Drosophila melanogaster: one gene and its partners. The gene in region 3 interacts genetically with the main gene of each other region. Each region holds a gene or a part of one and is shown on either strand. Other genes may lie near its edges. The genes, in order: jus, Rab30, para and Rab8.

Region 1 (8,044 bases), on a different chromosome or scaffold from region 3:
ACCCATGGAAAGCCATAAATAGTTCAAGGAATGTGCTGTACCAAAAAGATACTTCTTTCTATGCAAATTTTTGGTGCATCTCTTAATACTTTCATCATGTGAATTGATGATATACCTCTGCGAAGTTATCAAAGGCGATTATCTGGATATACCCAATAATACCCATCGATTTCTGCTCTCGGCATGCAAATCTTTCGCTTTTTGCAGTCGCTCGCCGGATGCAACTGCGGATGTGGATGTGGCAGTGCTGGGATGAGATGCGACGGAACGGGAGATGCATTGGGTTGGGATGGCGCCTCCAAAATGAATCGCCTGAAAGTGCTGCAATATTTAACATTTGCGTCGTGTGCAGGCCACGTGCGAAAAGTGGGGCTTTGGGCGAGTGGCACATATAGCCACCAATGCGGAAGGAAAATGCGATTTTTCCAGGCTTAGTCACTGGAATCCACAAGCTCTGGAATCCATTTAGAGCGGCGTGAAGTGGCGCTAATCGAGTGCCGTTGGATGGTCATTGGTCATTATAATGCCTGCAACGCGCACTCCATTGATCACGCACGAAAAATAAAATATGTGCCGCTTGTGTACTATAAATAGAACATGGTCTAAAAGGTGGCATACACTCAGAGAAATAATTGCTATGAACAACCTAATATCATAGCTCTGGCGAGTAATGTTACATCTAACTTTGAAGGAGACAGTTAGTTAGTTATTTGTTTGAATGCAGATATTATAGCAATATCGCTATTTATATGAAGTATGCCATTATAATTTCTCCCAGTGCACGGCTCCACAATCGCTGAGCCAAGTGTCGGGGGTGATAGAGTGGCATATGCACTTGCCATGACATGGTTAATGTGACAACGACTGTTTGCACAGTTTGCTTAATATTCCACACGTGCTGCCGCACATATAAAGGACTATGTGGCTGTACACATGTAGGATAATGAGGGTGTCAGAGGTCGACTTTTCGACTCCGGGCCACTCGACTCCTCGGTTCTGTGTCATCAGCGAAACGGGGCCAGTCGACCGCTGGCAATTTTATTATTTATCCTGGAGGTGAACACACACACACACCCACACACACAGCGAAAGCCCCAGAGATGCGGCATTTAGTTATCCTTAAGCTACTTAAAGGACAGCCTCACCTCAGCAAAATTAATTAGTGCACTTAAGCTAACCGCGCCTATGGGAAGCGCTGTCAGCCCTCGAAAGATCTAGAAGTATTTGCCCGAAAATTAAGTATACGCCGTGGCTAGCGCTGTACTTCATTGGCATTCATGCGCTGACCCACCGCAGCAGCCATTTGCCAGGGGAAAATCAAGCAGATAGTTTCGAGCAAAAGGATTCAAATGTCGAAGCGAAACGATTTTCCAAGCAGCCAAACAATTTATCTTCGCAGCGCCGGCGCTGGCTGGCCTATAAAAATGGCAATCATTATTATAGTCATGTACCAGGCAATGGGGCGTTACGGCAATCAACGCCAGCGTCCCCGCCAGAGCTCCATAAATAAGCGCGCAATTTCAATTTTCAACAACGCCCCAAAGGAGCTCATACTCGAGCTGAGGAGGAGCTGAAGAGGCCCGAGAAGCGAAAACCGGAGACAGACGCAGGCCGCATCGAAGATTATATGGTATATGGCTTATATGGTAAATGGCAGGCCGTGGTGTGTATTTAAATGCATTTTTTAATAGCCATAAAGCGGGCAGCTTGTCGGCCTAAACGGGAGGAGCACCAAATGCCAGCGGGCGCACTTAAAGGCCTCCTCCATGCGGATTTCGATTGAGAGTCCGCCTTGGATACGGATACTTGGCCGGGACAAGGACGAATGCGCAACTAAAACAAGAGAAGCCTCCTCGTACGGGGAACGTCGTATATAAATTATAAACGCAAACTGTGCGACAAGGATTTCTGGTTGGGTTTTCGGTTTGCTATACGGCATGTCTGCTCTTTCTACTTCTTTTTTTTTCAGTTTTATTTCTGCCGGTCGACATGCGATTTCGATGGCAAATGATTTTGCATTTGCCTGAGCGGTGGCGTGGGGCTGTGGGGTGGATATGGCGTATAGGGCGGCAAATCGAAGCATAAACGGGCATGCCACATGGTGCAAGTCGAAGGTCAAGGGTCATGCCGGCAGTCGGATCTCCTCGAAATTTACTGCAACACTTGCCGCCGGCGCAAAGGCATCACATTGTGGCATATATACTTTAGTTGTATTTATAGGCTGGATGGAAATTGATGACGTCTCCATCGGCAACGCCCCCCTGCCAGCCACATATATCCTCGAGATCCTTCGGCTGCGCGATGTCATGCCGCATGCAGATTGTCGTGCAGCTAGTAGCGAAGTAACTGCCACTGCAATTGGAGTTAGTTCACTGAAAGAAAGGTGATCCTAAAGCGAATGATATAGAAACAGAATATCGGAAAATGTAACCAAGTAAAGGTTTTTAAATAGATAGAAGATAACTATCCACTACTTTCTTCTGAGCTTTGCAAATGTATCTCAATCTAATCAAGGGTTTTAACTTCTTCCAAGTCTGAAAGATTCTTTAAATGCAGCTGACTTGTTCGTGATCACAGTTACACCCTTTTTCTTCAAGTGTTTGCAACGGCAACTGCCGCAAAGTCTGTGTTAGCCGGAATCGATCCGAAGGAGGAGCAGCGCAACTCGAGTCCTTATAACTTCACCTATACTGTGCATGTGCACATTCGCCAAACTCTGTGTGTATATGTGTGGCAAGGCGAGTGTGATGGTGTGAGTGGAGGCCAGACCATGTGCCTATGCCGTATCCTTACGCCTATGGATATGCCACGCGATGTGATTGTGAATGCGAAAATGTGGCGACGTCGAGGGAAAGTTGTGCTCCCAGCGAAGTTCGCTTTGGTTTGGTTGGGTTCGGTTCGCAGTGGTTTGGCTTGGCTTTGTCGGGGGGGGCTGCTGGCCCCAAAGCTTCTGGGCCAGGATGACGTAGTCCTCCGGCTGAAGTGTGTTAGTATGTCTGCCCTTCCGACTTGGGGTTGCACACACACACCAGCTCACAGCGTATCCATACAGGCGCAACGAGGGTGCGAAGGGGCATTAAATGGTTCGTGTTTTCCCTGCCCTTTTTCATATTTTCATTTGTGCCTCATCTCGCCCGTTTGTCGCCCATATTGGGGTCGCCTGACGGTTCGTACTTTAAAAGCGCCATTTAGTTCGCGCGCAGCCTAAATTATTAAAAGCAAATCCAACACACCGCACACAGGCAGTTCATTAAATTCAATGTATGCAAAATAGCGGCAACAAATGCGGCAAAAGGCAATCTTCCGCCACCCACCCACTCGGCCATCCAGCTGTTGTCATTTTCGAGCCACGAGCCTCAAAAAAGAAACAAGTTTGCGAGGCAAGCTCATCATAATCATGTGCCTTCCAAATGCAGGCGGAGAAAAGTGGGACACTTTTGCAAGAAAAGATGAGAAAATGTTTGAATTTCATCAGTGCTATGATGATATTTCACACAAATCATACTTATATACATACGCAGCAAGTCACATTTCACGAATGACAAATTCCATTGCCTACTTTTAGGCACTACCACAACTTTAGGCACCACATTGCTTTTAAATAGCCATAACTTTAAGATCTTTTATAGATTTCTGATTAGTTCAACTCTTTTCTGGTTATGAATTGTGTTTATCACAGTTTCCCCCCACAATTTGAAACTACTGCAGCGAGTTTTCGCTGCGTGTAGCAACTTTGCTGCGCAAATATGTTTCGCCAACTTCAATTTGTGTCCCAGGTAGTAAGTTTACCGCTGTGTGCGTATGTTTGAGGGGCATGCCGTGTTACTGTTGCCATCGCTGTGTGTGTGTGCGAGCTTGGCTTTTTTATGCGTCACGTGAGAATTTCCTTTATTATTATTTGACTTGGCTACCTCGGTACATATCACGTATACGCAACGTATAATTCCGCAGAAAGGGCATTGATTTTTTTGATTTGCTTTCAGTTCGGTTCGCCATTCCCCCCTTTTCGTTTATTACTTTGATTGCTTTTCACTGTTTTCTTCGTTTTATTTTTTTGTTTTTCTTTTTTTTTTGGTTTGAGGGCATGGATACGCTGCAGTTTGTGATTTTCTTTGCCCTGCTCAAGAAGAAAAATATTTGCTTGCCATTTATGTATATTCTGTTTTCATCTCGTTTTTTTTGTTGTTGTTTGTGTTTGGCACTTTTGGGCATTCGTTTTTTATTCTTGTTGCACGCTGTTCGGTTCATCACCACATTCACACACTTACACACTCATTCACTGACTCACACACACACACACACTCACGCGCGTAAGAAATATACTACTAAAATACAAATTGCTCACAATTTCCTTTGCTCTAGATAGTTGTTGTTGCTGCTGCTGCTGCTGCCTCGCACTGTTTGCTTTCCCACTGGATTTTCTCGGAAAACTCGACGACCACGCGCTTCGACGTCTGACCACGTTCTGAGCCGAATTTCCCACAGCCTTGGTGGAAAATGCGAATGTGGCGTTGGTGAAAAGTCTGCGAGGAAAAGTCACCATCAGGCGGCAGCCGCTTTTCCTCTCACAGGACCTGCGCATTTCCCGCCTGCAGGTGACACACTTTTCCGCGCCAACCGTCGCCGATGAAGTGGATTTTTCGACCCCTCCTCGGGCCACCGCTCCATCCCCCCCTCTGAGCCCACAAGCTCCACTATTTACATGGCACATCGGTTTAAGGCGGCTGGCAGTTTTCCTTCGTTTGCCCACTTTTTTCGTACTTTAGGTTGAAGTAAATTTCGCATGCATTGGCCGGAGGATGGATGCACTGAAAGAAACACATTACCAGCTTGCATATTATATATATATTATATATAGATATTAATTGATAAAATATTTAGCTTACTTATATTTTTAAACTCTATGATAATGGCATGACTTGATGCGTTAAAGTTTTGTAAATAGTGTATTTTATATATAAAAAAAATCAAAAATATCAAACAAATATGAATAGATTAATTCATAATAAAATGAAATTCTATAATATTTTTAGTATATTTTTCTCTGTGTAGCGTAACAAGACCTGGTGTGATGTGGCGCAAATGTCATTTTCAATGGCCGAAAATTTCGGTATGCTGCTGCCCAGTGCAGGGAGTTGAAAATTCGCATTCGCCGCATCCATAATGGATGATATGTCCTTTCGGCCCGCTGATCCTTCGGTTAAAGCAAAGCCACCGGGTTAACTGACCTTTGCAGTGCGGCCAACTTGAAATGCAAATAAGCGCCAATGTCCAATTGTAAAGTTCAGCAATCTAGAGTATTATTTATCACGTTTCAGCACAAACACATTGCCAAAAGCAAACAATTTAGTTTTGTGCGCAAAAGTTGCTGACGCTGGCACGTGCAATTTGAATAATTAACCGAACATTTTAATTAATGAAACAAGTTTGGTATTGACTTGGCCCAAAGTGTGAGTGCGTGTAGATACACACACTAGCACTTAAAAGTGTGTTTTGGCCCGAAGTGTTGTTGGTCATTTGCGCATTTATTAAATTAGAATTTGTGTGCCATTCGGTATGCTGTTTGCAGTGCTTGTGAATAACAAAAAAAAAAAAAAAAGATAATTAAAGTGAGCAGAAATAATTGGGCACTTTATTTATATTTTTTATTTAGTTACCATTCTAGCTATAAAATATGCTGCGAAAATAGGAATTATAAAACACATAGCTGTGTTGTGTGCCATTTGTTATAGTTTAATTGATAATTATTTCGCATAATTATTTCTCTTAATGAGTATAAACACTATTTTAAAACATTCCGAACAATTTATAAATGAAAATTTAAGCAAATGCTTAAAGTTAAAGAACTGACTTAATTATTCCATTTGTATTCCAACTGACAGCAGCTGTTGCAATTATCCCCCTTGCCAAAAACTAAAGTGAAAATGAGGTGGTGGAAAACCATATTCCACGAAGGAATGGCGTTGGCGGATCCCAGAAAGGAAACCGCCGACTGAAGCTGTGAAATGCGAAACGCAGCGGTATCAAAGGGGGAAAAGCGAACTGCCAGAAAAAAATCACAACTGAGAAATCAGAAAAAGGAAAAACCCAACCGGAGCCAACTCAATTCAGCGAAATCAACGCCAACGGCGGCTGCCTGTCAATTAAAACATTAAAACGCGCTGAAAAATGCAGCGAACAGGCGCAAAGTAAACAAACTGCGGAACATGTTGCAGTGCGGACAGCATTTTCCAACATTTTCCAACATTTTCAGCGATTAGAAGCATAGAATTTCGCAATGGAGCACTTAGAGCAGCACCAGAGTTTCGGGCCCAGACCACCAAACCGAGCAAAGAAATCCGATTCGTCGACCAGGGGAGGGACTAATGTGTGACCCAGTTTGGATCACTGTGCAGGAAAGGAACTCTGTGTGTTTTGGCCATTTGCTTTTTGATCATTAAAAACTGGTTGGCCGCCGCCAGCTGAGCGCCCCACTACATTTGCGGTCAGCTTAATAGCACCGCTGCGGCCATAAATTAGTCAAAGAAAATCTATTGGGATGGCAGCTGGCATCTGTCAATGATTTATTCTTGACACATCATTCCGTGTTAGTTCTTTTAAGAATTAAAAACCAAATAAAATAATAGTAATGATTTACGGTTGGGTCTTAGTGCAATTGTTTAGTAAATAAAGTTATCAAAGGCTATTAATTACTATTTATCATAACAGTTGATCAACAGCAAAGAGTTCTGGAAGAAAAGCGTGGAATATTCGTTTATATTTTTGCATATTTTTGAATATTTTTTTAAACAGTACAAATAACTTTTTAGAAAAAGTTTTATCGTAGTCAAGAAAAAGATGATTTAGCGCACTGACTTCTCCAATAGCTGGCTTTCTTGGATAGCTAAACGCTCCTATTCAAACACCCCCGACTGTGGCTATCTGTCCACTTGAACCGCCCGCCCATGTCTTCGGCGGCAGCGTCGCTTGTGGCATTGCCGCTTGGGTTTATAAGCGGCCGGCGATGGCGGCGGCGAGCCGAGTTTCAGCGTCAGATTAGCCGAGAGCGCGCGCGTTTTTTCCCACGATCAGGAAAATCGAATTCCAGAGCCATGAAGGATCGATTCAAGTGGTTGTCGCTGGAGCTGCTCCTGCTGATAGGCGCCGCAGTCGCCTTTCCGGACGGCGCTCCGGCGGACACGTGCGTGAAGCAGCGGGCGAATCAGCCGAATCATGGCAAGGCCCGGAGTCAGCCGGCTCACTCGAATCCGTACGAGGTGGTGGCCGATGCGCAGACCTACCATCCCGGCCAGCAGATATCGGTGGTCATCTACCCGCACTCGGACCAGAGCACCGTCTTCCGGGGATTCTTCCTGCAGGCGCGTGATGCCAACTCGAACGAGTGGATCGGCGAGTGGGTGCAGAGCGAGAACACCAAGACCATTCCAGAGTGCTCGGCCATTACGCACTCGGACAACCGGGACAAGCTGGGCGCCAAGCTCATCTGGAAGGCACCGCAAAATAAGCGGGGACAAGTCTACTTCACGTAAGTTGGAAGTTATAGGAGGAGTGGGTTAATTATATAGCTCAAGCCAATGGAATTATTAGAAAGATCTAGAATCTATAATCGAACTAACTTTCAGTGTTAAGTAGTGCTCTTACAGTCACAGCAAACAACTTAAATGCATGCAGAAGTTTCACTACCAACTTAATAAAATAAATGACCGCTTAGCACCCATTTTTTCGGACAGTTTCAATGAAGCACTTTGTCAAAACTGGCTTCGTACAACGCAGTTCGTGTCTTCTATGGCCCATCACCCTCATAATAATCATCATTATCATCGGAGGCGACGGTGGAAGTAGCATAAGCCGTGGCAACATCATTGTGCCTCGTGAAGGGATTCATTAATCATACGCCACGTTGACCCACATAATGTAATGCGCGCATAATTGTCAGGCGGACAAAAACTTGCCGGATAATCGCACAAAAGGCATTATGTAATTGATTTATTTGGAAAGAGCACACCCCTCATCAATGGTCCACAAAAAAAGGCATCAAACGGCA
Region 2 (7,730 bases), on a different chromosome or scaffold from region 3:
TCAATCACATCGCGTGGCGCACTCACCCCATCCTCGTCGATTTCCTCCCAGTTGTCTAACACATCCTCGCCATGGGACATCGTTCGACAAAGCACGTTGCTCGACTGCTGCTAGAATATATACTTCGGGTTTCGGTTGCGTTTTCGCTCACTTTCTTCTCTTGCGCCTGCTGCTGCAGCTCGCACTCTTACTGATACATGATTCCTTCGCACTTTTATCAGACATAAGTTATGCGTATGTTGGCAAGCACACTTTTTTCACGAAATTCGCACCCAAGAACCCTACTGAAAAAACAAAAAACAATACGCAACAATTTGGCCTGCTGCTAATGTCGTTCTCGTTGTTGTTGTTGTTGCTTTCCGTGGGCTAGTCTTCTTCTTGCTTATCAGGTCACAGCAAAAGTGACAGGTTTTGTTCGTTTGCACGGGAACTGGAAAAGTGGTTGCACTTTACTGGCCCAACCAGCACTGCGCCAGAAGATACTTGGCCCACCCACCTTTGATAGCCACACTTGTTAACCATTTATTTTTAACGCTTTATTAATAAAAGAAGTGTGTGGCCGCCGCCCGCGTTTCCCTGCGAATGTCGATGGAAATTTGGAATCGCAGAATGTCCGATAGACTGTGTAATCGAACGGGAAATTTAAAATTTGTTTTGCATGTAATTTTCTAACAATTTATTTTATTTATAATGACAATGTCGTGCAGAGCAAACTTTAAGTTATAAAGCTTGAAACGCTAAAAAGAAGAATGAACATTCTGTTTAATATTTCGATTGACCATGTCATACTAATGACTGCAATCGATAGCTGAATGTTAAGCCAATGTTAGGTGTATGTTTTGTTAACATGATAAGCAAATCAGCTGTTCCCTCTGCAATTTTGGAACAGCTAATGAAATATTTGAAATAGATAAGAGGCACTATTGATCATGGAAATTATAATACCGCGCTATTCGGAATCACACAGCATTATCATAGGTCAGCAACCGCGCAGCAAGCAGATCACCAAGCGATAGCGTTCATCAGGAAGCCAGCGATCTTCAAGCACGTGCATTTCGTTCAGAAGCTGACGGAATTTCTCGGCGTGTTTACGTAAATAGTTAAAATTCAGCAATGGAGGAGGTCGAAATCAGCACAGAAAAGAAATCCAATCCCGTAAAGTCATTTATTGCGGGCGGCGTGGGAGGCATGTGCAATGTGCTCGTTGGCCATCCATTGGACACAATAAAGGTGAGCTTCAAAACTGTGTTTACAAATGGAAACGATGTAATGCTTTAAGTTCCACTTTAGGTCCGTCTCCAAACCATGCCCACACCTCCACCTGGACAGCCGCCGAGATACAAGGGAGTCATAGATTGTGCCGCCAGGACATTTCGTTATGAGGGTTTTCGCGGATTCTACAGAGGAATATCCGCTCCACTTGTGGGAGTAACACCCATCTATGCCGTGGACTTTGCCGTCTATGCGGCGGGTAAACGATTGTTCCAAACGGATGACCACATTAGGCTCACCTACCCACAAATCTTCGCCGCGGGAGCCTTGGCCGGAGTTTGTTCTGCCCTCGTCACAGTGCCCACCGATCGTATAAAAGTCCTTCTGCAGACGCAAACCGTGTCCAACGGACCTCTGCTCTACAATGGAACCATTGACACGGCCGCCAAGCTATATAGGCAGGGTGGCATTCGGAGCCTCTTCAAGGGAACATGCGCGTGCATTCTGAGAGGTCAGTTGTTAATTAATTGCTTAATATTATAGTATATATAATAGTTATGGATAATTTTAAAATTTACAGACTCGCCCACCGGTTTTTACTTTGTGACCTACGAATTCCTACAGGAATTGGCTAGAAAGAAGTCCGCCAATGGAAAGATTAGCACCACATCAACTATTCTGTCCGGCGGAACGGCGGGCATTGTGTTTTGGACTTTGGCCGTGCCGTTCGATGTACTTAAAAGCCGTCTCCAGTCGGGTGAGTCATCCAATCGCCAATCGCTTTAGTTACAATGATTTATAAATGCCATATTTTTAGCACCTGAGGGAACATACAAGCACGGCATTCGCAGCGTTTTTAGAAACCTCATGGCCACAGAAGGCCCAAAAGCTCTATTTCGCGGTATCCTGCCAATTCTACTTCGTGCCTTTCCCTCCACCGCAGCAGTTTTCTTCGGCGTGGAGCTAACCAATGATTTGCTGAAGGCTTAAATTTAAGAATTTGTATTTCAGAGAGGCTGTTTAGAATATTAAATATTGTTTACATATGCGGTTGAGTTTGCTTTATTTGGATTTCTGATATTCTATAAACAAAATGTTTGAAATATTAGCTATGCGCAGTAACCGAGGGATATTAATGGATTTTTAAATATAACGCCAATAATTGGTATCCGATTTTAAAAGTTAAATATATTTTACTTTACATGCTAAAGTATCTTTACGGTTTAGCTTGGCTTACATTTAAAATATACTTTACTTTACATGCAAAAGTATCTTTACGTTTAAGCTTAGTTTCGATTCATTCCAATTGGATGTGCAATCGAAAGCTTTTAAGCGGAACGAACAGATCGACAATATTAGAATTGGAAGTGCAGCGAGATAAGTACTACTGCTTTTAATCAGAAAACTACTTGCGGAGAAAGTTGGACGCTGGCGGGTCGCGCGTTTACTCCTATTTCGTTCAATTCGAATCGATACCTTTAAAAACACACCGGCTTCTGTGCGAAAAACATTTTGGTGTTTCCTTGAATATAATACGTTTCCTGAAAGAGACGTTGAAAAAAAACACTTGGAAAAACGGCGATAGTTTTTCAAAACTATTATACGCCCTGTATTTGAATGATCTGCCCGAGGAATTGGAGGGCGGAATCGACATCGATGGCCGCCGTGTGAATGTCCTAATGTACGCTGATAGGATCGCAATACTTTCCGAAAGTATTGATGATCTTCAGGATATGATCAACCAGCTGGAAAAATACTGCACCAAATGGGACATAGTGGTGGACATGGACAGGTCGTGTATAATGGTCTTCAGGAGAGGTGGACGGCTTGCATTGACTGAGAAATGGTTTATAACGGGAAAGGAGATCAAAACCACAAGCACTGCAGAATTTCTCGATTTTTTGCTCACAACTACACTCAACACTCCAGAGATACTCCACATAATAGATTGGAAAAATTGGATGATTAGAGAAGATTGATGAATCTATACTTGCTGCAAATGTGGGGATACGAAAAAGTAATGCAATTCAAAGCTCTGCAAGCGTTTTATTTAAAAAAAAAAAACCACTTGTTTCGAGTGTCCCAACCCTAATAATCTGATAAGAGATGCATTTGCAGTATATTAAAAAACTTTATTTTCCCACAATGAAAATTCGATCGGCCGATTTTTAACTCTTAAAGTAATGAAGAAAAACATTCTGTGGGCTAAAGCACTTAATAATATTTGCAGTACCTATAACTTAAGGTGGAAGAGCTATTTGAACTCAGAATCGGAGTGGAACGATTTTTGCACGAAATTATTAAGGTGGTTAGTTAGATCCTGAAATCGATGGGATTTTTTTTTTTTATATGCATTATTGTACAAAATACTGTTTTAAAAACATTTGTAATTATTTATCGGCTAAAAGTTTACATTCCAATTATTGTGATATTTATATAATAACAAGATATATATTGCAGCTTTTTTAATCAACAACTTTTTCCGCATTCGTAAAAAGTTGATATACTTAATCAACATATTTTATATTTTACTCAGCTGTAAATTAATCAGCTGTAAATTAATTAAACACTCTTTTCCATTTTACTTGTATTTAGTTTATTTTTTATTCAGCTTTCTGGTCTATTCATAGTTTCTAATTCTTAATTTTTGGAATGTCATAAAATCACCTTAAACACTATTACGAATATCATTTAAAAATTGCATTACCAAAGATTGCACATTAATCGTAAAAATATGTAAAAATAATTGCAAATAAATATGCATAAATTGTGTATGTATACAAAAAATGTAATGTATAAAACATGCAATACTCCTTGGGAATTAATTGAAATAAACTAAATGGTGAGTCTAGCATTTTTGATATCATAAATTCTTCGTAGCATTGGCTGTGATGCTCACTTGGTAAACGATCCATAATCAGATCAATACATACGTCTATATAATACAAATCAAGAAAATCAGGCGGTCTTAAACACCTCCAATGGAGTTCTTGTAACACAAATATTTAGCATCCTTAGTCATTGACAGCTAGTTTCCCATAGGATCTTAATCGTGATAAATAGTAAATTAGTTTTTACAATCAATTTCTTTCTGTAAACCAAAGGGGATACAGAAATAATCAATTTTTTTAGTCTTGTAATTAAAATAATAAACCCTTAAGCATGAACAGAATATCACGATAACAGATAACAGATTAGCTGCACAGTTTCCAGATCCGTTTGCACATTGTACTTTAAATGTTTGTTGTTATCGTAGTTTAGTGAAAGCGAAGAGAATTGCTCTAAATACCTTTACATTTAAAGGTATTTGAAGCCGATGTGTTTTAACAATCTAATAGGAATCGTTACAAAGACAAAGGCAAACGATCACGTCATAATCATGCTTATAAAAACAAAATTTAACATATGTATGTATGTGTTAGAATGTGGGAGCATTGTGGTAATAAAAGATAAATGGAATATCACGATTAGTCCTTAACAAGTTACAGATTAGCTGCTCAGCTTCCAGTTCAGTTTGCAGCTGCTCAGCCGCCTTGACTAGAGTTGGAGCCGCCGCTGGCGAGTCCGCCACAGCAATTGCTCTGCGCTGCCTTGGCACTGAAGCTCCCCAGTCCGATGGAGCTGCCCTCCGACTGACGCTGGGCGGCTGCCGCTGCGGCCGAACTACTGCCATCCTTGCTCCTTGCCTGACCAATCAATTCGGCGGCAATCTCGTAGAACAGACGCTCTACATTCTCTGCCTCCTTGGCGGATGTCTCCAAGAAGTACATGTCATGCTGCTTGGCGAACTCTTCGCCAATCTGGGTGGGTATCTCTCGATCATCCCTGTCCGTCTTGTTACCCACCAGGATTTTGAGTACCTTGGAGTTGGCATACTCCTGGATCTCGCGCAGCCAGTCCGGCAGGCAGTCAAATGTGGGCTGGCAGCTGATGTCGTACACCAGGATCAAGGCGTGAGCCGATCGATAGTAGCTTTGCGTGATGGATCGGAACCGCTCCTGGCCGGCGGTGTCCCAGATTTGTAGCTTGATCTTCTCGCCCTCCACCTCCACGGTCTTAATCATGAAATCCACACCAATGGTGGCACCCTGGCCAGGTGGAAATAGACCCTGAGTAAAGCGGCGCACTAGGCATGTTTTTCCAACACCAGCATTGCCCACCAGGACGATTTTGAACAGGAACTTGTAGTCCTCCATTGGGGATGTTGCCAAAAATGGGTTGGTTTTGGGGTTTTTGAGTCGCTGGGTGTGGGCAAGTGTGTGTGTGCTCTGCGAAAGTAGACGAAAGTTAGTCGGAGCTTAGACACACCTAGTCAGCGACGCGTAACGATTATACTTTGCTGGCTGGTGGTGGTTCGTTGGATCAGCTTACGCCATCCCCAGCGAAGACAACGCCTCTCACCTGTGGCTCACCTGGGGCTCTATCACTAGCTGGCCAACGGCTGTTCGCCTTGTTTTTTGGCTTATTTGGCTAAAAGATGATGACTCAACAGCAGCTGTAGATGCTTGTTACTCGCTTATCTATGCGAATCGGCCCCAAATCTATTCAGCAGGCTTTCGGCCAGGTTGACTATGCTTGCAAATTTGTAATCAACTGGTTGCATGCTGCCGCATTAATTGCCAGCCTTAATTTTGCTTATGTTTACCAACAGAATTTTACTGTATTTCGACGTGATGGTATTTGATTAGAGATGTGACATCAATTCCCATAGCAATACTTAACGATGTTTTTCTCGGTATCGATAGATCGACGTTTTGCAAAGCACTTAAAAACTTTTTGAAGTACGGTCACTAGTTATCGATTGTTCATCATCGATAAGTTCTGTGACAACCCTGAAGCCGAAAACAAGCAGCCACGCTAGAGAAGAAAATCTGGTTGAAAATTGGCAAAAATTCTAATTAAAAAATCGCAAAAGCCAAAAGAGAAGTTCGTAAGTCGTCCTACGAATTCCGCTGTGCGTCCCCACCACATTTTGATTTCTCCAAACGTGCCAGACACCGAGCAGGGGACTTTTTTCACGGAGCACCCCGAATTGCAGCGAAGTAATTTTCGAATATGGCCGAGGACTTTGATGTGGAGGCGATGCTCGAGGCGCCGTACATGAAAAACGTAAGTTCCCAAAGGCCGGATAACAGCCAACTATCGTTTAAATTAAGTCCCACTGGCTTTTGTGCCCACCCAAGGCAATTATTTTGCTGTGCAAAAACAAAATGAAAAAAAATAGAAAAACAGTTACTTCATATGTATGTTTGTATACTTCTTTTCCCACATAGACACCCACAGGCGTACGTGCATTTTGTGTTTGTATGTAAGTCGTCTTCGTCTCGGGCACACACACACACACACACACATGTGCAGTCGATGCATACTAAGTGGTCTTAAATCGATTTTTAGCCTAATTTTGCTGTTTAATAAAAAATCGGCAGCCGGAACGCCAATCTGCGTGCTGATTTTCGTAATATTTTTTTTTCACACTAGACTGCGTTCATACAGAAAAGTGTTTCGCCAACGGAAAATCTGTCTGTGTGTGGGTTTGTGTTGTTTATTTTCCTACGCGGCATTTGATACAGTCGTGTACTGCAGTGGGTGTACAGTGGGGTGCAAAATATTTGGCAGGGCTGCAATAGCAACTGAAAACGTTTAACAAGTATCAGGGAAACTTAAAGGATTGAATTACTAACAAGACAGTCATGATTCTGTAAACTATAAAAAACAACGTATTTTAGTGATATTTTATATCTCTTACTAAACTTGGACTTTAATCTGTATTATTGACTGAAACGGATTTTGTAGCAATTGGTATTCCTCTTATCTTATCTGGGCAAACCATCTGTAATAATATTTATTAATAGGTTAAAACTCAGCCATATGAAATCATACTTGAAAAATCTCAATATATTATAAAATAATTTGTAGGTTAGCAAACCACATTTTTCCGTAGCATTTACAAATGCAATTTTCGGTGTGTTGTGGAATAAATCTAATAAAATTATCATTAATTAACCCAAAACCAAAATCAGCATTATTGTCCGACAGCTCGCCAAGGTTTTAGTCAATGTAGTAGTCTATGACATCCAGCTAAAGTTGGAAATTAATTGAATTGAATTCTTTCGCCCCAAACCAACAACTCATGAGTTCAACGCTCCTATTTCTTCCTATCTGCTGTCTCACTAAGAACTACCGACAACTACCCACACACAATCACCATTAAAAAATACAAAAAAAAAAAAAAAAAAAAAAACCAAACAAAAATGCTAGAATAATTCTTAAGGGTGAAATGTCTTTGCAGAGAATCGAATAAGCTCAATATTGTTGCTAGAGATTGTTTTGGTCATTCTAAACACAAAAAGCTGGAGACCATTTGGTAAGTTTTGAATGTGCCAGAAGCTGCGAAAAAAAACCAATTACAAAATTACAAAACAATAAAAAAAAAAAACCAAAACATATCTAGGCATTTTGTATAAAATATGATTTGTTTATGTTTGCGTTTTTTTTTTATGAACACAATCCAATTGAAA
Region 3 (8,154 bases):
AAATAAAGATTAACTTAAAGGCTCAATTCATGCTTATGAATTTACTTATGACCCTTACTTGTTCGTATAAATTTTATGTTTGATAATATAAGTAAGTATATGGTGCAATTAGATGCATTACCAAGGCACTCAGCGAAGGCAATAACGCCCGCGAAACCAATCACCTTGGTTCTTTCTGGCAGTGGCCACCTCAGCACACCATCGTACATGGCGTTCCACAGCAGTTGCCCGAATACTGATCCTTGGGGCATATCGCACGTTACCCTATGCTCACGTGTTAAGTAAAGTAAAGTAACATCATTGGATCGCCAGAACCACGTTTTCCAGTGTACTGCGACTGCTTCTTGCAGTCGGAATCCCTGCGATTTCTTGAGTTGCTGCCAAGGATTCTCAGCAGCAGCCCAGAAAAGTATGCTACCACCAGCGAAAAGATCGCGGAAATTTGCTTGTTTTTCCGTCTTCAAACAATTTTCCCTTTCACACCCAATTCTTTTTTTTTAATCCGATTTTATTTGGATTTGGATGTGTTATGTGTATGTGTGTGTGTGTATGTGTGGGAGAGTGTGTGTGTGTGTGTGGGAGAGTGTGTGTGTGTGGGAGAGTGTGTGTGTGTGTTTGTGAAATAGTGTCTGTGTGTTTGTGGGATAGTGTGTGTGTGTGTGTAGTTTGATCGAGATGTCGGCTCTTTTGGCGAAATTAGAACATGTTTAAAATCTACGTTTGCTTGATCATTTGGTTGTTGGTGCTCTGCAACAGTTGGATCTTGGAATTCGATTTAGTTTCTTATTTAGAGTTGCAGTGACTACGGATGCCCGCTTACTCCTTGAGTGCTTTACGCTTCCTTTTTTTTGGGGTAGGTTCCTTGTTCTTTAATGTGTCTTCCTCATCTTCGTTATTATCTAAATAAGACTTTTGGTTCTTCTTGGGACTAGCGGACAGCGGTGTGCTTTCCTTGTTGGTATCACCAGCGGCCCTTTCGTCGGTCTTCTCCTCGTCATCCTTCTCCTCGTCATCCTCCTCCTCCTCGCAATCCTTCATCTCCTTCTCGTCATCCTTCTCCTCCTCCTTCTTTTCCTCCTTATTCTCCTCCTTCTCCTCCTCCTCCTCCTCCTCCTTCTTTTCCTCCTCCTTCTTCCCCTTCTCCAACTTTTCCTCCTCCTCGGCCCCCAGGTCATCATCGGGCTGAGGATCGTCGGTCTTCTTGGCCGCGGCAGCAGCAGCTTTTTTGGCAGCCGCAACCCTACTCGGGCCTAAACCAAATTTACAGAAGATGGTAATGGCAACCGGCACCGCAATGGCCACTATGACAATGCCCCAGATCGCTCGATTGGCCCTAGCTAGCTCGACTACCTTATTCCCGAATGATTCACGATCGATGTAGAGACGCTTGATGTCGAAGCTGTTGGCAGCAAAGTCACGGGCCAACTCCACATCGTCCGTGATGATCAGGTTATCGAAGAGAATATCGCTGGACATGGACCACAGCTCCAGACCCACAGCGTTGATTGGCGTCATTTGGAAGGGCTTCAGATCCTCAAAGAAGTCTGGATTGGCTATCTTCCTGGGAGCCCACTTGCCCTGGTTGTTGGGGTTCTCGATCATTGGTGCACTCCACTTGCCCTTGTAGTTGGGATTGGGGATGAGCGGAGCCTTCCACTTGCCACAGCCGGGGGCCTTCTTGCACACTGGGTTCTCCACCAGAGGAGCCTCCCACTCGCCATCGATTTCGGAATTCCAATCTTCGGGTTCGATGGCAGTTGGATCGAAAATCATGTCGGGCTCATCCTCTAGCCAGCCATTTGGCATGACGGCATCGGTATCGGGCAGATGTGGTGGAGCATCCTCGTCCCAATCCTCGGGCTTGTGGGCATTGGGGTCTGGGATCTTCTTCCGCTCATCCCACGATTCTGGCTTGTGGTCATTGGGGTCATCTATCTCCGCCGGTGGGTTGACTGGTGGCACAAAGTCGGTCAGCAGGGAACCCTCTTTGATGATCTTGTGGTCTAAGCGAATCTCAAAGCTGTTATCGGGACGGACCACCAGCTGGTAGAGATGGGGTAGCTTGTCCGTGAATGGCACTCCCAAACGGGCATTTGGCTTTTTGCAGTGCTTTTCGGTGATGTTGCCATTTAATGGATTGACGTGCCGGAATATAAAGTGCATTTTCAAATTGTTGCCGCACTTGTCCGGACCAAACATGATGGTATAGGGTGTCTTGTCATTGAAGCGATTTAGTTGCTCCGTGCCTTTTCCGGCGGACAAAAGCTTCAGATACGAGCCGCCACAGTCCTGACCCTCCTGCAACGTAAGCTCGTACTGCACCACCAGCGGCTTGTTCGACTTGAAATCGAACGGCTGGCGAAAGGGGGCGGCTATGGCCGCATGCTTGGCCTTCGACTTGAGCACCAGACCCAGATCGTTTGCCCAAAAGATGCGTTGCGGAGACTCCCAGTTCCAGATGCCATCGTATTTGGCTATCTCATCGGCGATGTCGTTCTTCTTGGCCTGCGACAGTACCCATCTCTTTCGGGATGCCTCCACGTCGTCGAAGTGATCCGCAAAGTAAAACTTTTCGGCATCGATCACCGGACTCTTGTAGGCAAACTTCTCATCGCCATAGATGGCGCCGGGCTCTATCTGCACATCCTCCACAGAGTTTTCCGACTCCGGGGCCAAATAGCCGGTTTTGGCCGCACTCAGCAGCAACAAAATGGCGAAGAGCATTTTCCAAGCCATTTTCACACACTTTTCGCTTGCTCGCTTACTCAGAGTTGGAATAGATAAGGATTGACTGAATTGAGCCTTGCGTTTTTTTAATATAGCGACGTTCGAAGAAATTAACGATTTTTAACGATTTTTTGTGAAAAGTGGTTGACTTGACTGAACTGAGCCTTAATGCGTATGACTTTATTGACGCCGCTTGCTTGTTTGTATAAATTTTGGATTTGACTTACATAGATAGCTTAGTAATAGGTAATACGATTATGATTTTTAAAATGTAGATAATATTATAAGCACTTCATTTATTTGAAACGGTCTAACACTACCTTCTACCGCTACTACAGAAAATGTGAGAATTGAATCTAGATTCGGTTACGGATGTTCCTGCGGTCTTCGGATATTGGGCTTACATAAGCAGCCTCCGCTAAGGTCAAAGCACTCTTTTTCCATTTGCCAATCTGGCTGCGTGTGTGTATGTGTGAGCGCGCCAGTGTGTGTGCGTGTGTGTGTGTGTGTGTGTATCGAGCATAAAAGTAGGTCAGTTCGATATTTCGCCACACTCACACACACACGGAGGCATGAAGCATAGGGTAGCGTTCTCACACACACACAGAGTGGCAGTGGATGTGCCAATATGAGCATATATTTATGTGTGTCTGTTTCCATTCATGACACTCGCAAAATTCTGTTTGCCGAATTAATTTTTGGCCATTCGCTGGGTCGATGAGTCATGCGAAAAACCGCAAACAAGAATTGAAATAAAAAACAACCCGAGCCGGAATTTGTGTCAATATGCAAATGACACATGACAAACACATGAGCGAAACGCAAAACGTTTTCCTTAGCCAACCCAAGGTATCGATTTGGCAATATAACACAGAATATCTGCTACCCTATTAATTGTTGAACAAAATTCGATGGCAAGGAAAGGACTAAAAAACTAAAAAAAAAAACAAACAGAAACAGCAAAAAACTGAACGAAGTTAGCATGTTGTTAGTCAATGAATTTTGCATGGGAGAGCGCAATGGGCTGGCGAGAGAGCGAGGACTCTCACTCTCCTCCTGCCTGCGCCGAGAGAGCCAGTGCCCTCTCTCTTGCGCTCTCACTTCTCTGTGTGATGCCGCCAACAAACACGGACTACAACAATACATTTTTGGGTTCCCTTCTCTCTTAACGAACCTCCTTTCAATGTGTGCGTGAGCAAAGGAATTCCGTTAGAAACACCCCCCCCCCTCAACCTTCATCATTCATTTTTTTCTGCTCTGCTCTGCTCTGTTCTTTTTTTTTTTTTGTGGCAGCTGAAAGTTTGCCCTCCAAAAGCCAGCAAAAGGTTGTAGCCCAAAAGCAAAGGGGCGTGCCAGTGGGCGGGACAAAAAGGGGCGCAGATACCCCATTGATATGGTCTTGAGGTCGGGCCTGGTTAACTGGGATTTTCACCAAGGAGGCATGACATAATCGAGCCAAGTTCATCAAGTCGCCCACTGCTCCGTTCACACTTTTCTAGCTATTCAAATATTGAAATACATACGAAAGACACAATTGCTTTCTAAATTCTCATTTGACGTGCAGCGTAAATTGCCCTTTTTGGTATTCTATATTAAAATTGCAATCGATGGGAATACCAAATGTGGGTTTCTTAAAAACTTTCAATGAAAGTTGAACCATTGACCCAGTAAAATGTAGTTCTCTTTGACCAAAATGAAAAGTAAATTAATGACTTTGTTTTGAGCTGAGAAGTAAGTTAAGTAAGAGCTGAGAATTTCTAATATAACACATTGTTAGCCTGTTTGCTCTAACATAGATAACATAATTATTTTCAATACATTTCCACTATGTGTTAATTGTAAGAATTCATCATAAAAGTGGTTCTTTTAGACTCGAAAGATCGTTTAGTCTTAAGAATAAATCATTCAAGGTATCGGAAATAGTTGAAACTCAACAAATAAAAAATTTCACGATTTTTTTTCCTCTGTTTAGGGTTAAATATCATTAGCATAATTAAAAGTGCAATGAATGTGATAATAAAATACATATTAAATGGATTTTTTCGATTGCCTTCGATTACCTACCGTTAATCGATGTCTATCGATGTTGTGCCTGGCTGCTCGCTCTATCCGCTGATGTTGTTGTTGCTGTAGTTGCTATTGTGGTTGTTGTTGCTGTTGCTGCTTTTGTTGTGAGCGTGCTTGCTTGTATTGTTGTTGTTGCTGCTGCTGCTAAGAATTGTTGCTGCTGTTAACTACTGTTGTTGTTGTTGTGGTTGTGGCTCTGGCTGCTGCTGCTGTTGTTGTAGTTGTTGTTGTTGTGGCTCACACATTTACAGGCACCAACACACACGCGACGCACTCACACACATATGCATACATATACATAGATATATATATATATAAATATATATATATGTATATTTTATATATATATATATATTACGGAGACGAAGACGAATAAAGTTGAAGCGGTAGAACAAGTAGAAGATGAATTTGTTGTTTGTTTTGTTTTTTGGTTTTTTTGTTTGGTTTTTTTTTTATATTTGTATTTTTGTTTGCTTTTATTTGTTTTGGTTTTGTTTGTTAAATCTGCATTATCATTGGGTATTTGAATTGGTTTTTTTATTTAATTTTTTTGCGTGCTTAACAACAACCAAGACGTGTTGCCAGAAATTTTCATCAAACGTTGCGTTTTGTTCCCAGAGCTGTTTCAATTTATTATTTATAGTTAATGTTAATATTATTTGTTGTATTATTTCTACTAGTATCTGGCTACCTGGCTGGGATATTTAAATGAGTTTGCCTCGGCTTGGTTTCTCAACTGTTGCTATGATTATAATTGGTTTTCCGTATTATGACTAATAGTATTATTATTATTATTTGCAGATTTTATTTCGGTTTTAGTTTCAATTTCGTCAGCGTCGCCTGCGGAAAAGCGAACAAGTTGTTGAAACCCAGCTTAAATTGGAAAATTTGATGGGAAAACTCATTCACAAAAGGTGACAGAAATGTAAAAAAAATTGAAAAAAATATTATCGGAAGAAAAAATTTCGAATAATTTGTATGGCCCACTAAAAGCACCCCCTAGTATTGTTTGAATGGCTTGAAATTATTTTTTTTAATATTTATTTCTTTTTATATGTTAGATTTTCTGCTGTCCTTGTGCCAATTATGTGAATTATGTCGTTAGTTTATTTGATTCCTTCTACTAAACTTGTTATATTTCTTCAATAGATATTTAAAATGGGCTTGTAAATTGTATTCACACACTTGATGGCTTTCACTTAGACACACGAAAAAAAAAACGTAAAATGAGCACTCAATTGGCAGGATAATGTCTCACTGGATTGGATGCACTGTAAAAAAAAATGTCGAGGCAGCGAGTCGCGGCTTGTTTGTGTTTATGCAATTTTCGCGCGCACGTGAAACGCAGAGCAGTATTGAAAAAGGACACAAGGATGCGGAAAAAAGTCGAGCACTGAGCACTGAAAAAGTTCCTCCTCTCTGGGTAACTCCGTTTTCGGGCGAACCAGGCAGTTGTCCGCCGTTTCGCCGTGACTTCCTTTTATCCGAATTTGCCGCGAAAAGGAGCAGAAGCAGTTCGCGCGTGTGTGTGTTTGTGTGTGTGTGAGAAGTCCTTTTCGCCCTAAAGCATTTGCCATATATAACCACCCAAGTCGTTGTCAACACAGGTTTTGTTGTGCTACTTTGCCACCCTGTTTTTCGCTGCTTATCCTTTCGCCCTTCGCTATTCTCCGCCATTTGCCACATACTATTCGCCATCGCCGACTCTCATTTTTTTATTTGTCTTTGGTCACTTGTTCTATTTTTAGGTCATCAAGCTGATATTCCACGGCTCTGCTCTGCCCGAAAATTGCAACAGTGGGTCATTATTTTTGGGCGTTTGGCACCAGTTGGACTGGTCAAGTCAAGTCCGACTGCGTTCATAACTAATGTGGCCCGAGAATATGGAGCATCAGCTATAATCGCAAATCATGCTGACCCGCTTTTCGGGGCCCCCCATCTTGGACACCGACCAATCGATCCTATCCGAACTTTATCTAACCCAGCGGTGGCGGGGTCACCAAGTCACCAAGTCACCAGTCAGCCCACCCATTTGCACACATTAAGGAACTGCGTTCCTAATGTCCTTACAAATGGACAAGTACATACATATGTATAAACAAATTGAAAACAATGGAGTTTAACTGTGTGTGTGTGTGTGTGTGTCTTAACTGGATTGGGGTCACCAAAGCGCGCAGCTTTTGTGGGAGTTTGAGTAATAATGCTTTTAAATCAGGAAACTGTTTTCGAAGCGTTTAAGCTTGCTATAAATTTAACCTAATTGACTTCATTCTTAAGTGTGTAATACTATAAGTTTGGACTTATCATTTCCTGGCACTCAATAGTTGTACTCAATAGCGTACTTAGAAACCTTTAAATTGCCAATTTCTCTTTGGGACTAATGTTTATTTATCACAGTTTCATCCATAATGGGAGCCAATGATTTGGAATTCGTTTGGATCATGAACCTTGGCCTTGCTCCTAATTGAATTCGCAGTGAGGATCTTCGCGTAACATAAGACATTTGTCGCAGGTCGCATATGGATGGCAATATTACCGAGAGCACAATCTCCTTATTGGATTGCGTCCTGATTGCAAGCCCTTGGGATTCGCACAATGGAAGCCAAAGGCCAGAGCCTTGCACACATGCTATTCGACTTGCGTTTGCTGCTCGATGGCTGCTAGCTTGGTCTTTTGACCATTTGCACGTCACGTATTTAATAATTTATTTATGCATCAATTTGGGTTATGTAAATTTTTTACACCAAAAGCCAACAACAGGCAAAGGGCGAGCAAAGAACAACAATGGGGCTGGAAGCCAATTGAACACGCACAACCCAGGGGCAGATTGAACTGCGACTGCCATTTGGTGACTGGTGGTGCTCCGGCTGGGCTTCCGTCCCTCTCCATGGGATGCAATGGTATGGGGGTCCTGCGGAGCCTTCGCCCCGGGACAAGCTGGTGAGCACGATGGAAGGCTGGTGGCAGGCTGTTGGCCGAATGGCACCGGCCTAACCCGCTGGGCATTGGACGAGCCGCAAAGTTATTGTAACACCCATTTGGACTGGTCTTAACACATCGGTACTTTCTTTAACGGGTGTTCCCCATGCCATTTCACTATATTTTCAGCTTTTTGGTTTTCTATAGCGACCAGAAGTCGCGAAAGCAACACAAATAGCCAAATAGCCACACGAAAGCCACACAATCGCACACGAATGACAGCTAGTGCGTTTTATAAACGAAAGTTTATAGATTTTGGCCAAGGAAGGGAAAGTTTTCGCTTTCGATTCTGGGCCACAATTGCGTGTCCTTTCGGTTTCGACGAGGTCCTTGCAAGTTCTCGGCAAGAGGCACATAAAAAATGAATCCTTCGTTGTAATG
Region 4 (9,099 bases), on a different chromosome or scaffold from region 3:
ATAGCTTGTACTTTAATAGGTATATTTTCAAGAATCACATATTTCCTCTTTTTTGTTAAATTAAATCTTTATACCCTAGTTCACGCAGCTGGGATCCTCGAATAGTGCGATTTCCTGGAGAATGCCTATAGGAAAATCCCCGAAATTCTTGGTGCAACATATTGTTTTTAACCACAAAACAAAACCTTTAAAAAAACTTCTGACCAAGACTCAGAAACCGCACATTAAAAAATCACTCGCTCAATCACTCTAACTCGACTTTGCCTTAGGTGATCCTTTTCGCTCAACACATCGCCTGATACAATTTGGTATAATTTTATTATATTGCATATTATCCTTTTAAGGTGATATTTTACAGAATCACAAAATAGTTAAATCAATCAAACGATTCATCTGATCAGAAAATATTTTTCTCTTATTTTCTTACCGCTAGCAAGCGAGTAATCATACTCCTTGCTTCTCCTTTGAGAGCGGTTTTTAAATAATTAAACTTTAGAGATGTGCTCAAGACAGAGAGTCAAGATAACAGATAATAGGATAAAGTCTATTATAGTCAGAACATAGTTCTCTGTAAGGGTCATGCAACTCATGGTTAGATCTACAATGATTTAAGACAAGCGGTATATAGTTTCTAGTAAATCTACTTGGAACACAGAAGTTAAGCCGACTAACCTAGTCGGGACTCTCAACTTCACTTCACGAATAAGCTTAAAAATAAAGACTGTTCCAAGCATCGTTCCACGATTAGCTAGGGAAGGTAAATTAAATAAAAGTAGTCTACTGGAATATGGAGGTAATATAAGGTTTGCATTCCAATTTAGGCGCCGCAAGGTAAATAGTAAGAATTTTTTTGGGCCGATTCAATGCGGTCCGAGTGGACTCCAAACAGGTGATCCGTACTCTAGAATCGGACGGACTAACGAAATAAATAAGGCTTTAGTCAAGTAAGGATCATCAAATTCCTAAGACCACCTTTTTATAAAACCAAACCCACACCCCAGGCCTTATTGACAATATGATATTATTCGAAATATGGTCAGAAAGTTTTAGTTTAGGGTCCAGAAGAACACCAAGATCATCAACCCGTGTTATTCTGTCCAAAGGCCACCCGACAAAAGGTCATAACTTTACACTTGGAGCCATTTAAGTCTAACACTTTATCACGGCACCATATTTGAAATCTGTCTAGATCGGATTGTAAGTTCAAATGGCGCGAATTGTCCTTGTGCTGGAGGCATTATTTAAAATCGTCTGCGTACATAAGTACACGCGAATGTTTTATTATTAAGGGGAGGTCGTTAATGAATAAGGTACAAAGAAGCGGACCAAGATGGCTCCCTTTGGGACACCGGATGTGACTCGGAGAATACAAGATAAAGAATTTTTAAAGAGGACTTGTTGCGACCGGCCATTCAGATAGCTTGAAATCCAGTTTAGAAGATCAACAGTGAAACCTCAAAGATCAAGTTTTCTTATTAGAAGGTGATGATTAACAGAGTCAAAAGCTTTACTAAAGTCAGGGTAGATGACATCTGTTTGAAGATTATTTTTGAAGCACTGTATTACGACAGAAGTTAGCTCCAAGAGGTTAGTGGTTGCTGATCTGCGTTTCGTAAAACCGTGCTGACACGATGATTGATCTACAATACAAAAGTGCTGCAAATGAGGAGTGATAACATTTTCAAACAGTCTTGGGATAGCCGACAATTTAGAGATTCCTCTGTAATTGCTTGCATTCAGTTTGCTACCTTTTTTATGAAGAGGAATCACAAAGGACTCCTTCCATATATGGGGGAATTGTGAAGATTCCAGAGATAAGGTAAACAGTTTCAGTAGAGGCTTGCACAAGGCTTCCGCACAGAATCTGAGCGGAACACAGCCAGGGATTCCATCGGGACCTGGCGAATAGACCGTTTTAACACGCTGAAGATCGTTAAGCAGTGAGCTTTCGTTTATAGTGGGGCGAAATATTAGATTCGATCTTAGTCGACCGCATAAGAGTATGGCTGTTCGGAATGAGGTGAAGTTGAATATGTTGTTTGAAAAAACTTGGCGAATAGATCGGCTATTGCCTGATCCGATGTTACCGTAGTGTTTTCAAAAAATAGCGAAGAAGGGTAAGAAATGGTTTTTCGCTTGGTGTTAACGAAATTATAAAACTGTTTCGGATCCTGTGCGAACTGGAACTTACAACGGCTTAAATAATTCCTGTAGCACTTAGCATTAAGCACGGTAAAGTTTAAGCGAGCGCTTAAATATTTAGAAAGGATGGACTTAGAACCGTATTTTTAAATTTTGTATAAAGTCTGGACTTTACATTTCTTAGGTGTTTCAACTCTTTATTAAACAAAGGAGGTTTAAGGATTGCCGGATAGTACATCGGAACACAAGAGTCAAAAACGATTTAATTGCGGTATAAAACATATTAATGGCATCCGTCATTATGTTGCAAGAGTAAGGATCGGACCAATTAAAGCCAGCTATAAAATTGTTTGCCTTGCGAAAACAGTGAATTCGCTTGGTTGACTTCTCCGATTTTACTTTTAATACGGTACGGTGTCGATTGTCACCTCGAAAGTAGGATGATATGGATCTTCAGGTTGAGTAAGATGTGCTACCCTGGACAGAAACACACTTTCAGGACTTGTTACAAGACATAGATCCAACAGTCGACCAAGAGAGTTTCGAATATAATTAACTTGCAACAACGATAAGTCGAGCATAAAGTCATGTTGTGCTAAAGGGAGAAGAATATTCGATTGTTCTTCTGGGACCACATTATGCCAGGTATATTAAAATCATCTAGAACTACCAATTGGTCCCTGTCAGACAGTTTATTTGAGATGGATTGGATAGCGGACAAAGTATTCAGATATTCTGGGAATTCAGAAGATAGCGGAATATACGAGCACATAATATAAACTGATCTGTCGGAAAATGACAGTTTTACGCATATGATTTCTGAGTTATGGGATTCGTCAAAAAGTAACTCTTCCAACGGGAGGGTAGATCTAACCCGTTCCCATTTGGAGGGACGGTCATAATGTGTACATATGTACGTGGGAAGACTTCGGAGTTAAATCCCCGGCTTTAAACAAGTCTCTGAACACTATTATACGGGATGCAAAGGAAAGGCTATTACAATACAATTTGGTTAGTTTGCTACGCAAGCCTCTAGCATTTTGATAGGAAGTAGTAAGATTAGTTAGTTTTTAGTTTAGTTTTAGATTTTTGAAGAAGATGAAGAGGCGGAGGGTGCAGTGGTCTGGCCATGTGAGGGATGTTTAATTCCCACGGGCTCTTTTTACAATTTTTAATTAGCTTAGCTTCGAACTCTTTTACCACCATATAATAAGAACTTTACGGGACTTTTCTTTAATTTTCCACACAGATATATAAATTTATGATGCCCCATAATGCAACATGATGTCTCGTCGGTATGTCAACGATTAAGCTATGATTCATATTCATAATCCTCTCCATCCGACTTGGGTCATTGGACATGATCCAGATCATTTAAGAGTAATCCCTGATCGAACCCTGAGCGAATAGACTTACCCACAAACTGGTATTGGATTTCTTAAGGTCCTCTCAAGTGTACCTGGGAAACCCAGTGCATTGCAGCATGGACATTTTGTATAAGTTGATAGTCCTCAGCCCATACTCTACAATGCTCCACAGCACAATCTGTCTACGCGACTTTGGGTCCGACGCGTCGAACTCGCCTGTCTCTGTTATGACAGAAGCTCAGCGCTACGAAACGAGCCATAAAATCTTTTCAAATAAAAAGTTTTTGGTTTTGCACATGATTTATTTTTATAAAATTGTATACGTTTAATCATTAATATTACAAGTAATTAATTAATATCAAATATGCAATTAGTTATCATTTAATTTCACATTATTTATATTACTGCGCTGTGTATGTGTTCATAATTGTTTATTGCTGCCGATCGATTCTCATCGATAGACTACCTTTAATTGGTGATATCTCGCAAATCTGCAAATCTTCGTTAATGTTTTAATATTAGGTGTAACGTTTTATTGACAAAGTCATGTGGTGTGCGGCAAAGAACAAAATAAATAGAGTACGAACTAACCAAATGAAATGTGTGTGAAGATTAAGAAGAATATAATAAGCACCCTCGATCTGTGCGATACTACCACATTATATTATATAAAGTTAGGACCGGGTAGGGGGAGGTGCGGGGCGGATTGGGCTGTTTTACACTTTTGGGTCATTGTGCGTCTGGACCTCCTCCGTCGTATTCCCAACGTAATGGCAAAAGGGTTTCTGAATCGATCGAAAGTACATACAAGCAATGAGCAAAACAAGGACAGGTAAACTAATCATATGCATACATAGTACATACAATATATTTGTTTTACAATTAATAATTTACAAATCGACAACCATGGCTGCTAGAGAAAATCATAATTCCGTAAATACTAAAACCTCTTCGAGAAGGACGCGGGCGGGTTGGATTGGCTGCTCTTCGATTTTCGCTATCGCTGGATCGTTTTATCTTTAAACTTGAGTTATATACGTATATATGTATACATATTATCATGCCTAGGTATATTTCGTACACGCTGTCGTCATATACTTTATTTAATAACTGTTTCATAATGCAATTTGTGTTCTATTCCATTATCGCGCTTATTCGGTTAAAGGGAGCCGGCTGCTGATTGATGTTTAAGGTTGATTTAGATGTCAGTTAATGTCCGCTTGTCGGGGTCCCGCTTGTACTCGAACCTAACAGGAGTTAAGAAAACTACTACCTCGTAGTTACCACCATAAACCACTACCGTGTAGTCGTTGCCACCATGCCGCTTCAGTGCCGAGCGCACGTTGCCACGTCAAAGCAGACTGCACCTGGACAACCAACTGTCCTTCGTCCGACTGTCCATCGGTTTCAGCTGATGGCCGCCCTTGGGTGGGTTGTTCGCCTCCTGCGCACACAAAGGATGTAAATGGTTAGCCACAGTAAAAAAAACGCTTTGTCCGAGTCTCGCCACCCGCACACTCACCATTCGCTTTTCCGTTTTCGCTTTGATATCACTGGCTAGGGTGAGGAAGGCTTCTTCCACGTTAATGCTGGCCTTCGCGGAGGTCTCCATGAACTTGATGCCATACTCGATGGCCAATTGTTCGCCGCGCTCTTTTGAAACCTACAACGGGTGGAAAATTGTTTAATTATCGGCCTTAAGGGCAGATAGCTTTATGAAGCTGAAAAGAATATTGCGCCAAATCATTGTCTATCCCTTATTGGATTTAATAACAAATGATTATACACTAACTGAATTTGAAATATATAAATAAAATGTTTGTAGATAACTTTTATGGAACAAACAAATAAACGAACTTGGAGGAATAGCCAGCGAAATCACCAATTTCTTTTTTCCATACCTGTCGCTTATCGGTCAATTCGCACTTGTTTCCCAGCAGCATTTTCTCGACATCGGCGGACGCATTTTCCTCGATATTCCTGATCCAGTTTTTGATGTTCTCGAAGGACTTTTCTTGGGTTATGTCATATACCAGCATGATGCCCATGGCACCTCTGTAATAGGCCGTGGTGATTGTGCGAAAACGCTCCTGGCCGGCAGTGTCCCTGGAAAATGAATGGAGATATAGGTAATTAGAGAATACAGATGAATCGCCTAGTACTTACCATATCTGCAGCTTAATCTTCTTGTTATCTAATTCAATTGTTCTAATTTTAAAATCGATACCTGAAAAGAGAAAACAGATGAGCATATACACACATGTACGTTTGCTAATTAATTTAAATAATTTGGCAAGAGGCTAAACCTGTTTGGTCGGAACCCATGACATCGCAGCTAAAATAAGAGACGAAGAGAACCGAAATCCACAAACCACGCAATTAATTTAAACAATGTCGTTAAGTAAATGCCCCAAAATTGGAAGTGTCGCGATGAAAACGTGCCAAAAACGAAAATAAACAATTATTAGCCACGAGCAGAAATGGGAATCGCTCTACTTTTGTGTTTACAAGTACGGGAAAGTACAGTGTGCATGTCGAATATTATTGTGATTATTATTTTAATAAGCTTAAAATTACTAGCATAATCTGATTTAACTGCCACTTGAAGTTGTACTGATTATGATTCGAATTTATTAAAAAGTATTTGCTGTGTTTGGTAGAAAGGCTTCACTGTACTCGTACGGGAACAACTACTTGAATTCCCTCTGAGACTGGGCATGGGCCTGCTGGGTATATAATAGGGCATTCCCGATTTGGCGTGCGACGGTCAAGTCTCGCATCGGAACAATCCGGCTTCTGGGGCGATAAGAGCAGCGAAAGTACAAAGACTATGGGTACTCGGACTGAGTACTCATTTCTGATCGCTTTCCTATGCGGGTGTGAATCTCAGGGCGAGATAAGGCATCCGGATATATTCCTTACGGGAAAATCTTAATAAGCGCGAGAAATCAAACATGGTGGGAGTGCCCCTCCCATGGAAACAACAATATTTATGACAAATGCGCCCGGATGGGGCAGGAAATAAAAAAGAAAAGAGGCATTTAATGAGTCACTGGGCCAGAAGCTCGGATTTCCAATTGCGAATGAGTTCATGCGAACGAAGGTGTTATAATTAATAACCAAAAAAAAAAAAAAATTAAGAATCGGAAGACACGGTAAACGCGGATGATGACACTCACCTATTGTGGATATAAACGTTGTGTTGAAGGCGTCCTCAGAGAATCGGAAGAGGATGCAGGTCTTGCCCACTCCGGAGTCACCGATCAGGAGCAGTTTGAACAGATAGTCGTAGGTTTTGGCCATTTTGTGTGCTTTTGCGGTAGGATCACAGTATCTGGCCCGATAATAGTGCTTAGCTGGGGGTTAGGGTACGGGTTAAGGGTGATGATGCTCTGTACACGTCGTCGTCTCCTTAATCAACTGACTGACTTCCTCTCCGATTCTTGGCTAATAACACTAATCACGATTATGCCCCATGCGTGCCGTTTAGCGTATGTATGTACATATACACTATACCCAGACGTAACCGCACTAATCCACAATCTAATTGAATCGACTCGAATCGAAAACGTATAGTTTTTTCCTTCTCTCCGCAGCGCAGCTCTTTTTCTCTTGGGTGTGTGTGTTGTGTTTTCGATTTCGGAGCCGTGTCAAAAATGGCGACGTAGATTTAAGACCTTTTTGTTGTCTGTGCCCGAGTTTCGGATTTCGTGCGGCGGCTTTTCCGGTGGGCAAATGCAAAGGCGCTCGCTACGCGGTGCGAGTCTACGTTGGTTTGTTGTGAAAATTACGTGGAAATGAAGTTAATTACTGCTTTCTAATTACGCCCGTACAAAAAATATGAGTTTCGATAATTCGTTGCTGCGCAACACTGGCGCGCCGTCGTCTATCGATAGCTTATCGTACGATGGGGAAAACAGCTGTTTCCAGTTAGTGTTGGAAAGTGCGCGAATATAGAAAGAAACAGAGGAAAATAGCACAAGACAAGAGTCAAAAAGACAGGTGTATATTATATATTCATACACATATATCGTCGTGATCCTGCACCTGATCCTCGCCAGCAGCCTATTGTTCCGCCCGCGACTGTGAAGTGAAGTTGAACAAATGTGAAAAGTGGCGTCGCCAGACGCAGCAGCAGGCGGAGCCCCAGAATCCATTGAGTTGCACCCCCGCAAACAAGAAATTCTGGACCATGGGCACCAAGGAGTCCAAGCACTCCAATAGCGTCAGCTACGAGGATTCGGTGAAACGCGGTGAGTCTCCTCCGGCTGGTTACTTGTGGGGCCGTCTCCCAGCCGCAGAAAATAGGTCACTGCCAATCAAGAAAACAGAACCCCCTGCGAAAGCAACAACAACGTACAAGCAGGTGCAATCGATTCCATTGTGTTGTTGCGCCCACGTCTTCTGACCAACGGGAATCACCACTGACTTCCGCCACCACCATCCTCATGCTCCTCTTAATCCTATCTCTTGCAATTATCTACTGCCATTCCAGTGTGGCTTCTTTATTGCATGTGTTTTCATGTGCATGGGTATTTGCGTCTCCGCCGCCAATGACGTCACAATAGAAAAGCTAACCGAATGGGGTGGCAGTTGGAGGTGTGCGCTGTGTGGGTGAGAGACAACAAAGCAGCGAAGGCACATGAGAAACAGTTAGACAGCCAGTGGAGTGCAGTTCACGCTTAGGGTGACTGGAATGCGCGGATGCGGATGTCGCTGCGAATACGATTCATTTCAAGTTCAGCATGTCATTCCAGTGTTCATTTCAATTCGCACTCTATGGGCAAAGGTCTTCTGTTGAAGTATTTTATAAAGAAGCCTACTTTAAAATTTTTTTGTTTATAATGAAATGAAATTATAATGAAAGGGGAGCATTTTGGATTTCGATTTTCCAATTGGAATATCCATAAGAAAAATGTTTTAAAATAAATAATTCATTGGGCTTTTAATTCTGCATGTCATTTCCTTATTTCTTAAAATTCCTCTTTAAGTGGAATATGTTCAGATAGGAAAAGGAATTACTGTGTTTAAAACAAGCTGATAAGCCAAAAAAATAGAAATTTATTTACAAAGTATGAAAATCGGAATGTTCACTCTTCTCCAAATATTTTATAATAATGAACCAGCAATAAAATTGGTAATCATTCAGAAGAGTTAAGATTATTTAAGCCAACTTGTATACCCATTTTCGGCCCACTTTCAATGACGTTTAGCTTCCCTTAGTGCTTTTCACTTACTTTATTCCGCCTTCCCTTTGCGCTGGCAATCATCTAAATGCTGGTGTTGTTATGGTTATGGTTGCTGATTTGTGGCCAGGCGGCCCAGCCAGAGTTAAGAAAACGAGTGTCGCTGATAAGGCTCACTCCCCCGGAACACCAGCACTCCGGACCACCCCTCCACCACCCACCATCACTGGTGTGGGGCGTGCGACCGGGTGCGTGTGTTTCTTATTAGCCACTCCAACCGGTTCCAGTAAAACCAAGGGGGAAGTGAGGACTAGCATGCAAGTATGTGCGCGGTGGTCAATAATCGCAGACTCGAGTTGCAGTTAACATTCAATAAAATGCCGTTTCCGTGACGTCGCATAATT

Evidence for each region.
Region 1: of para (region 3) and jus, changing one suppresses a phenotype caused by changing the other (phenotypic suppression), as found in Drosophila melanogaster (2 studies listed by BioGRID).
Region 2: of para (region 3) and Rab30, changing one suppresses a phenotype caused by changing the other (phenotypic suppression), as found in Drosophila melanogaster (one study listed by BioGRID).
Region 4: of para (region 3) and Rab8, changing one suppresses a phenotype caused by changing the other (phenotypic suppression), as found in Drosophila melanogaster (one study listed by BioGRID).

The regions. Positions count from the first base shown.
Region 1 is NT_033777.3:29,190,543-29,198,586, forward strand, and holds the start of jus (julius seizure), read right to left. Parts: upstream 4,452-8,044; 5' UTR 4,346-4,451; intron 1-4,345. Other genes in the region: CG14515 (uncharacterized protein), read left to right, coding at 7,092-7,525.
Region 2 is NT_033779.5:7,026,698-7,034,427, forward strand, and holds Rab30 (Rab30), read right to left. Parts: upstream 5,910-7,730; 5' UTR 5,540-5,909; intron 5,481-5,539; 5' UTR 5,409-5,480; coding exon 4,737-5,408; 3' UTR 3,796-4,736; downstream 1-3,795. Other genes in the region: CG31908 (uncharacterized protein), read right to left, coding at 27-80; MME1 (mitochondrial magnesium exporter 1), read left to right, coding at 1,114-1,230, 1,291-1,723, 1,793-1,969, 2,030-2,202; caper, read left to right, coding at 6,268-6,321.
Region 3 is NC_004354.4:16,522,486-16,530,639, forward strand, and holds the start of para (paralytic), read right to left. Parts: upstream 4,930-8,154; 5' UTR 4,792-4,929; intron 2,931-4,791; exon of another isoform or gene 2,737-2,930; coding exon of another isoform or gene 817-2,736; exon of another isoform or gene 482-816; intron 1-481. Other genes in the region: Cnx14D (calnexin 14D), read right to left, coding at 817-2,736. UniProt on the Drosophila melanogaster protein: Mediates the voltage-dependent sodium ion permeability of excitable membranes.
Region 4 is NT_037436.4:19,863,693-19,872,791, forward strand, and holds Rab8 (Rab8), read right to left. Parts: upstream 7,387-9,099; 5' UTR 6,813-7,386; coding exon 6,689-6,812; intron 5,867-6,688; exon of another isoform or gene 5,835-5,866; coding exon of another isoform or gene 5,816-5,834; intron 5,737-5,815; coding exon 5,676-5,736; intron 5,616-5,675; coding exon 5,411-5,615; intron 5,173-5,410; coding exon 5,032-5,172; intron 4,954-5,031; coding exon 4,861-4,953; 3' UTR 3,796-4,860; downstream 1-3,795. Other genes in the region: Usp32 (ubiquitin specific protease 32), read left to right, coding at 7,702-7,762.